2 linked regions of the Sus scrofa genome follow. The protein of the gene in region 2 purifies or fractionates together with the protein of the main gene of each other region. This does not show direct contact. Links are inferred from orthologs where the notes say so. Each region holds a gene or a part of one and is shown on either strand. Other genes may lie near its edges.

The links.
Region 1: the proteins of PLEKHO1 (region 2) and CAPZB purify together in Homo sapiens (co-immunoprecipitation; 3 studies listed by BioGRID and IntAct, counting the BioPlex papers as one, with this or other methods). This does not show direct contact. The link is inferred for Sus scrofa from reciprocal best matches to the Homo sapiens genes PLEKHO1 and CAPZB.

What each region holds. Positions count from the first base shown.
Region 1 is NC_010448.4:77,909,558-77,914,072, forward strand, and holds the start of CAPZB (F-actin-capping protein subunit beta), read right to left. Parts: upstream 3,061-4,515; 5' UTR 2,959-3,060; coding exon 2,956-2,958; intron 1-2,955. UniProt on the Homo sapiens protein: F-actin-capping proteins bind in a Ca(2+)-independent manner to the fast growing ends of actin filaments (barbed end) thereby blocking the exchange of subunits at these ends.
Region 2 is NC_010446.5:98,927,775-98,931,577, forward strand, and holds part of PLEKHO1 (pleckstrin homology domain-containing family O member 1), read right to left. Parts: intron 898-3,803; coding exon 757-897; intron 1-756. UniProt on the Homo sapiens protein: Plays a role in the regulation of the actin cytoskeleton through its interactions with actin capping protein (CP).

The sequences.
Region 1 (4,515 bases), on a different chromosome or scaffold from region 2:
GCTGCTCTCTTGCCATCTCACAGTGGTCTTAATTCATTGATCTATTATGCAACCCCACACCACCTCTTCTATCCTACCCCAACTGTCTTCCTTGGTTTATTAGCCAGAATATTCAAGTAAGGGATAAACGGAATAATAAGCTGTTAGAAACTACTTAAAAGCCTAGGGGATACTAAGAACAAGTTATTGAGAGAATGAGTGTGAAATCCAAGAGGCTAAGTTCAAGACACACCCCAAAAGGGAGCACTCCAAGCTGTTTCCCTCAGTGCCAGGTAGTGTTCTGGGCCCGAGGGACACAGACATGGAAAAGACAAGGCAAAAATCCCTGTCCTCAAAGAGCTCACGTTAAATAAGCCTGCATCACCATCCTACTGTTTCCCTATGAAATGACATCTCTATGTAAAGGACCCAGTATACAACCAAAAGTCAGTAAGTGCTGCTCTCTTGCCATCTCTGAGCACCTATCATCATGTTTTCTACAGTGTCCTTCACATCCTCAACACAAAAGCAGCCTGGGACAATGGAAGGGACACAGCTTAGAGCCCGCCAGATGTGCTTCCATCAATGGAGCACATCTTGAGTATGGTACCCCATACCCGGAGCCTCAGCTTCTTCACCTGTAAAATGGGGACAGCAACTATCTCAAGTTTTAGTGGGCATAGGCCTCGTGGCGCAGTGTTAACGATCCGATAGAACATGCGTGCGGTTCGATCCTGCCTGTCAGTTAACATCGGCGTGCCGGAGCTGTGGTAGGGCAGACGGCCGACCGAGTGCTGTGGCTCTGGCTAGCTGCAGCTACACTCCATAGACACAAACTCAAGCCAGAAAAAAAAAAAAAAAAAAAAAAAAAAAAAAACAACACATCAAGAAATGTTTGCCTTTTTCCTCCACCCTTTCCATAGTACTTTCAGACTGTCCAAATCAGACCAAAATACAGGACTCTTGAGAAGCCTCATGTATCATATCCCTCCTGGGCATAAACAGGCATTTTCTCATCCCATTTGGAGACTCAAGCACTCAGAGACGTGGCAAGAGGCTCCTCCCCCACCACCAGCCCTCCTATGATGCCAGAAATGCCGCCTCCAGCAGCCCCACCTGGCCACCCAACCATCCTCTCCTGCTTTTGCCCCGACAGCAAATCTATACTCTGCTTTTCAAGTCCTCACCCAAAACTGTCCTGGAGAAGTCCTTCCCCATCCAGGCCTGGGGCTGGGCCACTTCTCATGTGGCCAATTCTCTGCTGATGCTATCAGAGAAGCCCAATTACAGCGGGCACGTTTTAAATCAACGTACAGGAAAGCATTAAGAAAAAACTCAGGCACTCTGAATTAGTCACCCTAGTTCAGCAGCAACAGCCCTTCCTTAAACAAGGAACTGAGAGCCTCAAAACCCTTTGGGGCCCAAAGTCCACATGTAAACATCTGCCTGCACCCGGCAGGAGCAGGTGGCTGGCCTGAGTCTCAGTCCACTCTCCAAAGGCTCCTTGGCCACGTGAGGGAGAAGCCCTCTGGCCCTTCCAACCTGGGCGCTGGGCCTGCCCTGCAGAAGGTTCCAAAGCGAAGGGAGGGTAGAGGGCTCACGTGTCAGGGTCTAGGTGAAACCTCTGGCCAGTCGGAGCGCCCCCAGAGCACCTGCCCTCATTACCAAAACAAACAGCACAGGCCGAGCGAACTCTCTCCCTCGGAGTCTGGCTCACCTGATCCGTGGCACCTCCATAATCAGCAGTTCCAACCCTCACGAGCTGACAGTTGAGGGGGAAAGGGAGGCTGCGCCTGCTAGGGTGCATCGTGTCCGGGCCGTCTGGTGGCCTCAGAGCCCGGGGGCCCCCAAGGGCGGCAGCCTCACAAGGGCGATTGTGCGTTCATCCCTGTGCCGCCGGCTCCCCCACCCACATCCCTTCGCACCCGCTCACGCCCCATCGCCCTGGACCCTGGTCGTCCGGCCGGACGCTCCGCCAGTACCGCACCCCGCGGCACCGAGGCGGCGGCCAGGGGAAGGGCCCGAAGAGCGCCCCGCTGCCTTCCGGGCACACGGATGCCCGCCCTGCCCTCGCTCGCTCCCAGGAGGCCTCCCAGAAAAGGGGCACCCCTCCAACCTGATACGGCACAGCCCCGGGACCCCCATCCCCACCCGAGCTGGAGAGCCGCTCTCGCTTCCCAGTGGTAGCAAAGAAGGTTCGCCCCAGGTAGAGGCGAGGGGACCACCTGGGTAGGGAGCAGGGCCCAGGAGGGAGGGTAAAGCCCAGGAGAGAGCGGGGCTGACGCAAGCTACGCCAAGAGTGGTGAGAAGTCCGGAGAAGAGAATCGGGGCGGGGGACGGGGGACGGTGTGACGTCCAGGCCGGGGCCAGGGGTGGAAAAGAGGGGTCCAGACTTAAACCACGGCGGGAAGAGAAGATTTAGGCTGAAGTCATGCAGGAGAGAGGAACCAATGTGGGCTGAGGCCACTGGAGGACGGGTTAACGGGGGTCTGGACTGAGGTCACCGAGAAGAGGGGAGGTAGGGGACAGAGGCCTAGCCAGGGCTATGGGAGGAAATAAAGACGGCCTAGCTTGGGCCGTAGGGACGGGGGATGGGGACCTGGCCTGGGCCAAGAGGAGAAAGAAGGACCACGCCTGGGTCCTTGTAGGGGGTGCCTGGCCTGGACCACGGGTCCAGGAGGGTCTACCCTGGGCCATGGGGGAGATTAGCCTACACCCAGCGGTGGAGTATGAGACGCTAGCTTGAGCCAACAGCGGGGGCTAGGAGCAAGAGGCAGAGTCGCTGCACACCTAAGCCGCCCAGGCCGGTGGCCCCTTCTGGAGCGGATGAGGATGGTGTCTACCTGGGCTCCGGGACCTCGCCCCTCCCCCACCCGGTGAACCCACCCTTCCCGGGCCGGGGGTGGGCGGGAGGAGGGGGACGCGAGCTCCAGTGGGGCTCCCAGGCCTGGGGGAAGGGGAGCGTCGGGCCTTTACCATGGTGGCGGCGGCGGCGGCGGTCCCGTCCCGGCGTCTGTGGCTCTCCCCCCCGCAGCAGGGCCCGGCGCTTCCACTTCCCCGGGTGCCCAGGAGTGAACATCCGGGTCAGCGCCCCCCTCCCCCCGCGCCGGGCCGCCGCCACCTTCCTTCCCCGCCCCGGCCCAGCCTGGGCCCGCCCCCCACGCAGCCGGCTCTCGGCCAATGAGCGCGCAGGGCCGCGGCGATCGCCAAGTATGGAGCTCGGCGAGGGGGAGGAGCAGAGAACGGGGAAGTGAGGGGCGGGGCTTGCGAGCGGGGCGGGGCGCAGCGGTCGGCGGGACGGGTGGGCGGGTCCGGGGGTCCTGGGGAGGGTACTCACTGCAGCTCCGGCCCCGAGCGGCCTTCTGCGTGTAGCCAGATCCAACCCGGGTCCTGTGGGTGCAGCTGCGGGTGGTGGCAGAGGGACGGTGCCCGCAGGCCTCCGGGCGAGGATGCGGAAGGCACTGGGGCTGGGAGGGGTCAGTCCCTCCCCGCCCCACCCAGTGCACGCGCTTGCTCCTGCGGCGGACCCGGAACTGGTGCGGCCCGCGGAGCCAGCCCTTCCCTGAGAGAGCGTAGTGAGCGAACCTCAGATGGAATCCCAGCACTGCCGCTTGTTCCGTGTGGGACCTGGAGCAAGTCACTGCACTTGAGCCGGATCTCTAAAAAATCAGCCTCAGGTCACACCAGTCACTGAGCACCGGCCGTACGTATACAGGCCGGTATACCAGGTGACATGTAAAGATGCTCTCACAACTACCTGCTGCAGGAATGATATTAGGACGACACAGTAGAAATTAGAAAACCCGGCCCAATAAATGTTACATGTTGAGGGTATTTTTAGATGTGCTGCAGAGAACCCACCCATTTGCCCAGTAGGGCTACCTCATTCCACGGTGACTCAGAAATTCTTTTTTTTCTCTCTCTCTCCTTCTTCATTCAACAAATATTTATTAGGCCTGGTCTAGAAGGCAGGAGACCTGGGACGCTAGCCCTGCTAATAATAACTGCCTTCCCTAGCTTGCTCTCTCTTTTGTGAGATTTAAATCAGGCCCCTATGAGAGGACTAAGTGTAAAGTGTTGCACGAAGGACAGAAATGAGGACCACAAACCAGGCTGTGACCCAGACCCCCATCCTCAGGTAACTCATAGTGGAGGAACAGCTGCCACTGGCATAAAAGTAGTTCAGCTAAGTCCCACAAGAGTGATACAGACCTGTATTACAGGAATTCAGAGAAAGGGCGTGGCACTTTGGAATTTTCACTTGGTGTAAGTATTTATTGAGCATCTACCCTGTAAGGAGCACTGCTCTGGGCTCTAAGTTTAGAGCAATGAACAGGACAGTCCATGTTGTTGCAGAGCTTGGACCAGGGGAAGGGGAGACAATCAGCTACTAAATAGATACAGTGTCAGGTGGTGATTAGAGATGTGGAGGAAAATCAGAGGGAGGCAGGCAGATGAACAAAGTGGGGCCAGAGGAGGCCTGATTTAGAAAGTAACACTTGATCAGAGGGAGGCACAAGGAACAGCAAGGGAAAA
Region 2 (3,803 bases):
AGAAGGGTACTGGATATTGATACAGCCCTGGAGATAATCAGAGGAGGTAAAGGACAGATACTAAAATAAAGCTCCGCAAATGTTTTTTTGTTTGTTTTTTTAGGGCCGCACTTGTGGCACATGGAGGTTCCCAGGCTAGGGGTCACATTGGAGCTGTAGCTGCCGGCCTACACCACAGCCATGCCAGATCCTTAACCTGCCGAGCAAGGCCAGGGATCGAAGCTGCATCCTCATGAATACTAGTCAGATTCGTTTCCATTGAGCTATGACGGGAACTCCAAAATCTTTTTTTTTTTTTTTTTTTTTTTTATTTTTCCACTCCAAAATCTTTAAATGTTTGAAGAAACAGAATGTCCCTGGGTTCCCACAGACAAGGGAAATTAGATTAAAAATTTCAACCAGGGTACAGGGAAAAGGGACTGTCACCCAAGAGAGGTGTGTGTGTGTGAGAGAGCGAGAGAGACAGAAAGACAGAGAGAGAGACAGAGAGAAAGAGAGGCAGACAGACAGAGAGAGGGAGAGAGAGAGGATCTTTGTGGAAGGACGGTTTAAAGGCTGGCTTGCCTGGATGGAAGGAAATGGCCACAATATTCTCAGGTTAAATGATAAAAGCCATGGCAGGAGAGCAATCATTCAGCATCTCCGCCAAGAGAGCTGAGAGATCCCAAAGGGGAAGGTGTTCTCCCAAGCCCCCCCAGCCCCCCCACCCCGGGCCCCGTCAATGATCCAGTTGCCAAGGTGGTAGGGGGAACGGACCGTGTTCCCGGGCTGTTTGGAGTGGGCAAGAGTGAACTTGCTATGGTTCTTCTTGCTCCTGCTCTTGGATTTCCGGAGCTCTTCACACTTCTCATAGTCACTCAGGTCAAACACTTCTTGAATATTTTTCTCATCTTTTACCTAGGGGAGGGTTGGAGGTAAGGTGATAAGGATAAAACTTCTTAGTCCCTTCCCCTAAGTTGTTAATTTAGACCAGTTTTGAGAACCCGAAGAAGGCTGAGAAGGGGGTGGGAAAAGGCTGTTCTATCGGAGGCCCACAGAGGCCTGACCCCTCAGGCAGGTTTCCACGGAAACCCCCGGTCCCCACTCCCCTCAGCCAAGCGACCGTGTCTGGAGTTCCAGGAGGTCTCTCTTCACTATGACCCCCACTTTGTCCTTCAAAGGACACAGATACGGGGGCTAATAGTTTAATCCTATCATCCTGAAGTAAGCAAGACCCGGATGGCCCTTGAGTGTCCAGAGGAAGGAGGTAAAGGCAGGGCCGGTATCAGCGATGTCTGGAGGGAATGAAGGGCGGCCTCTGTGCTCCTTGCCATCTAATGTTTACGTTGTTGCTTTCTTATCCCACCTGGCACCTTCCTCTAATATATACTACTGGGAAGAGACTCATCTAGCGCCTTCATTTCAGGAGCTTCAGCACCATAGAAAGAGCAGCCCCTGTGTTGAGTTTGTTGAGTTTGTTGAGACAGAGTGAAAAATACACCTGCAGTTCCTACCCCTCCTTCCTCCTTCCGAAGTGACAACTCAACCTAGCTCCCGGGGCTTGAGAAGCTACTTAAATCATCCACCTCTCTAGGCAAAGATACAGTTATATTCTCCCTGCAGGACTACATTTCAGACTTGGAAAAAAGTGTTCTGCTACCTCTTTCTATGATTTTAGTTTGAGAGCTGAAGCCCCCTTACTGCCAGAAGTCCCTTCTTGTGTCTAAACTGAGTCTTTCCTGCTTGAATTGATCCTGCACCCCATTCTACCCTTAGCAGCTCTATCCAGCATTTGGCTCTTTTAAGTCTCTTGCTGAATGTTTAATTAGAGACTACAATTCTGTCTACATCCTCCAACCCCAACCTGCTTTTTCTGGGCACCACAAAGCAAATTCCACTAAGATTTCTGCCAAGGTCCGCTTTAAACCTCTCAGGGTTTTTTCTCCTCTCCCCTAAGGCGTTCCCATAGCCCTGTCCTCTGAAGCCATGACCTGGCTTGCCAGAGGAGAGAAGCATTTGTCACTGGCCTGGATGGAGCAGTGGGTGATTAGCAAACCCTTTCACCCGCTGCTAGTTGAGCCTGGGACTGGAAGATGCTGGGGAATGAGCTGCTCAGGTTTTCCTGGGATGAGAGATGAAAACCACCAGTTCTTGTCTTGTCAGAACTAAACAAACAGACAAAGGTAGCCTCATATATTCCCTGGAAGACATCTACCCTCCCTGACTGGAGTTATTTCACAGGGGCCCCCACTTCCCAAGCTCTGAAATAGGAATTGTGTGTGTGTGTGGAGGTGACTTCATCTATCTGCCTGGTTCTCATCAGCCTTAAAGTGGGGACGTGGTTCTCTCTTCCATCTCAGCTCACCTCTGCTCTTGTATCTGCCCATCCTTCCAAATTGCTGCTGAACCTAGGGGGTTGACACAGACCCATTCCGGTAAATGGCCGCTCATACACCCACCTCTGTTTGTTTCCACACAGTGTGGCTCCTCCAGGGCTCTCCCCTCTCCCAGGCTCTCTGGCTTTGGGGTAGGAAGTGACCAGAGGCCTTGAAGGATTGTGGGTGGAAGTGGACAAGATGCTGGCAAAGGATGTTCCAGAACAATTCCCAGAAACATGGGGCAGGGATGCAGGGTGATACATCATTCCTCTCCCCCTCCTTCCTCAGGGTTGAGACTATCAGCAGAGGCCAGAAATCTTGGAGAGGAAAGTGTTGGGTGTGTGTACAGAGCCAGGGGAAGAGAGTTACTTATTCTGTTTTCCTTAGGGGAGGGGAGGGAAGGGAAGGGAGGTATTCTGGCTTGCACACGACTGATAAGGAGCTCTGAGGAGCAGGAGACACTGACAGAGCTTAGCCCTTGACAAGGCATGGAAGGAAGGAGAGGGGCCGAGACAAGCAGCGGGACAAGCATATTCTAGTGCACAGGGAAGATGGACAACTCCAAGGACCTGGTTCTTCACTGTATCTTTTTTTTTTTTTTTTTTTTTTTTTTTTGTCTTTTTGCCTTTTCTAGGGCCAATCCTACGGCATATGGAGGTTCCCAGGCTAGGGGTCTAATTAGAGCTGTAGCCACTGGCCTACACCACAGCTACATCGACGCGGGATCCGAGCCGCGTCTGCAACCTACACTATAGCTCACTGAGCAAGGACTCTTAACCCAATGAGCGAGGCCAGGGATTGAACCCACAACCTCATGGTTCCTAGTCGGACTCGTTAACCCCTGAGCCACGACGGGAACTCCCACTGTATTGTTTTTGCCCATCCAATTCCCAGTTTCATTTATAATTACCACCCACCAAAGTCAGTCCTTCTTTTCCCCTGATTCTTTGTCCTTGGCCCACAGAAAGGAATTTTTCCCATGCCTGCCAAAAAAGATGACCTGAACCCCATTTCTTTTACCATAAGGTCTCCCTGAGGTCTGGTTTCTGTTCATATACATCAGTCCTTTGACTGCGAATGAGGAAAATGCTTATTACCAACAAACAGAGAAGGCCTTCTTTGGGGCAGCAGTTATAGGAGACCCTGCCTTTGAGGGGAAATAACACAAGAAGCCGGGTGTAAATTCTGGGGGAGAGGGTGAGGAATTTTGTAGCATTAACATGTAAATTACAAACATTATACTACACTGAAAAAAAAATCTTGAATCCATTGGCTCTGGAGCTTTTGGGAAGTGGACAGAATAAAGCCTATGCTCCTCATTCAGTTCCGCCTTTAACCCACGCCACTGTAGCATGGAAACTGGCTCCAAAAAAGAGCCATTCCAATAGGCTTGTTCCCTCTTTTCCTATGCCTTCCTCAGCAGGGGGCAGCTGGCCCCATGACGAG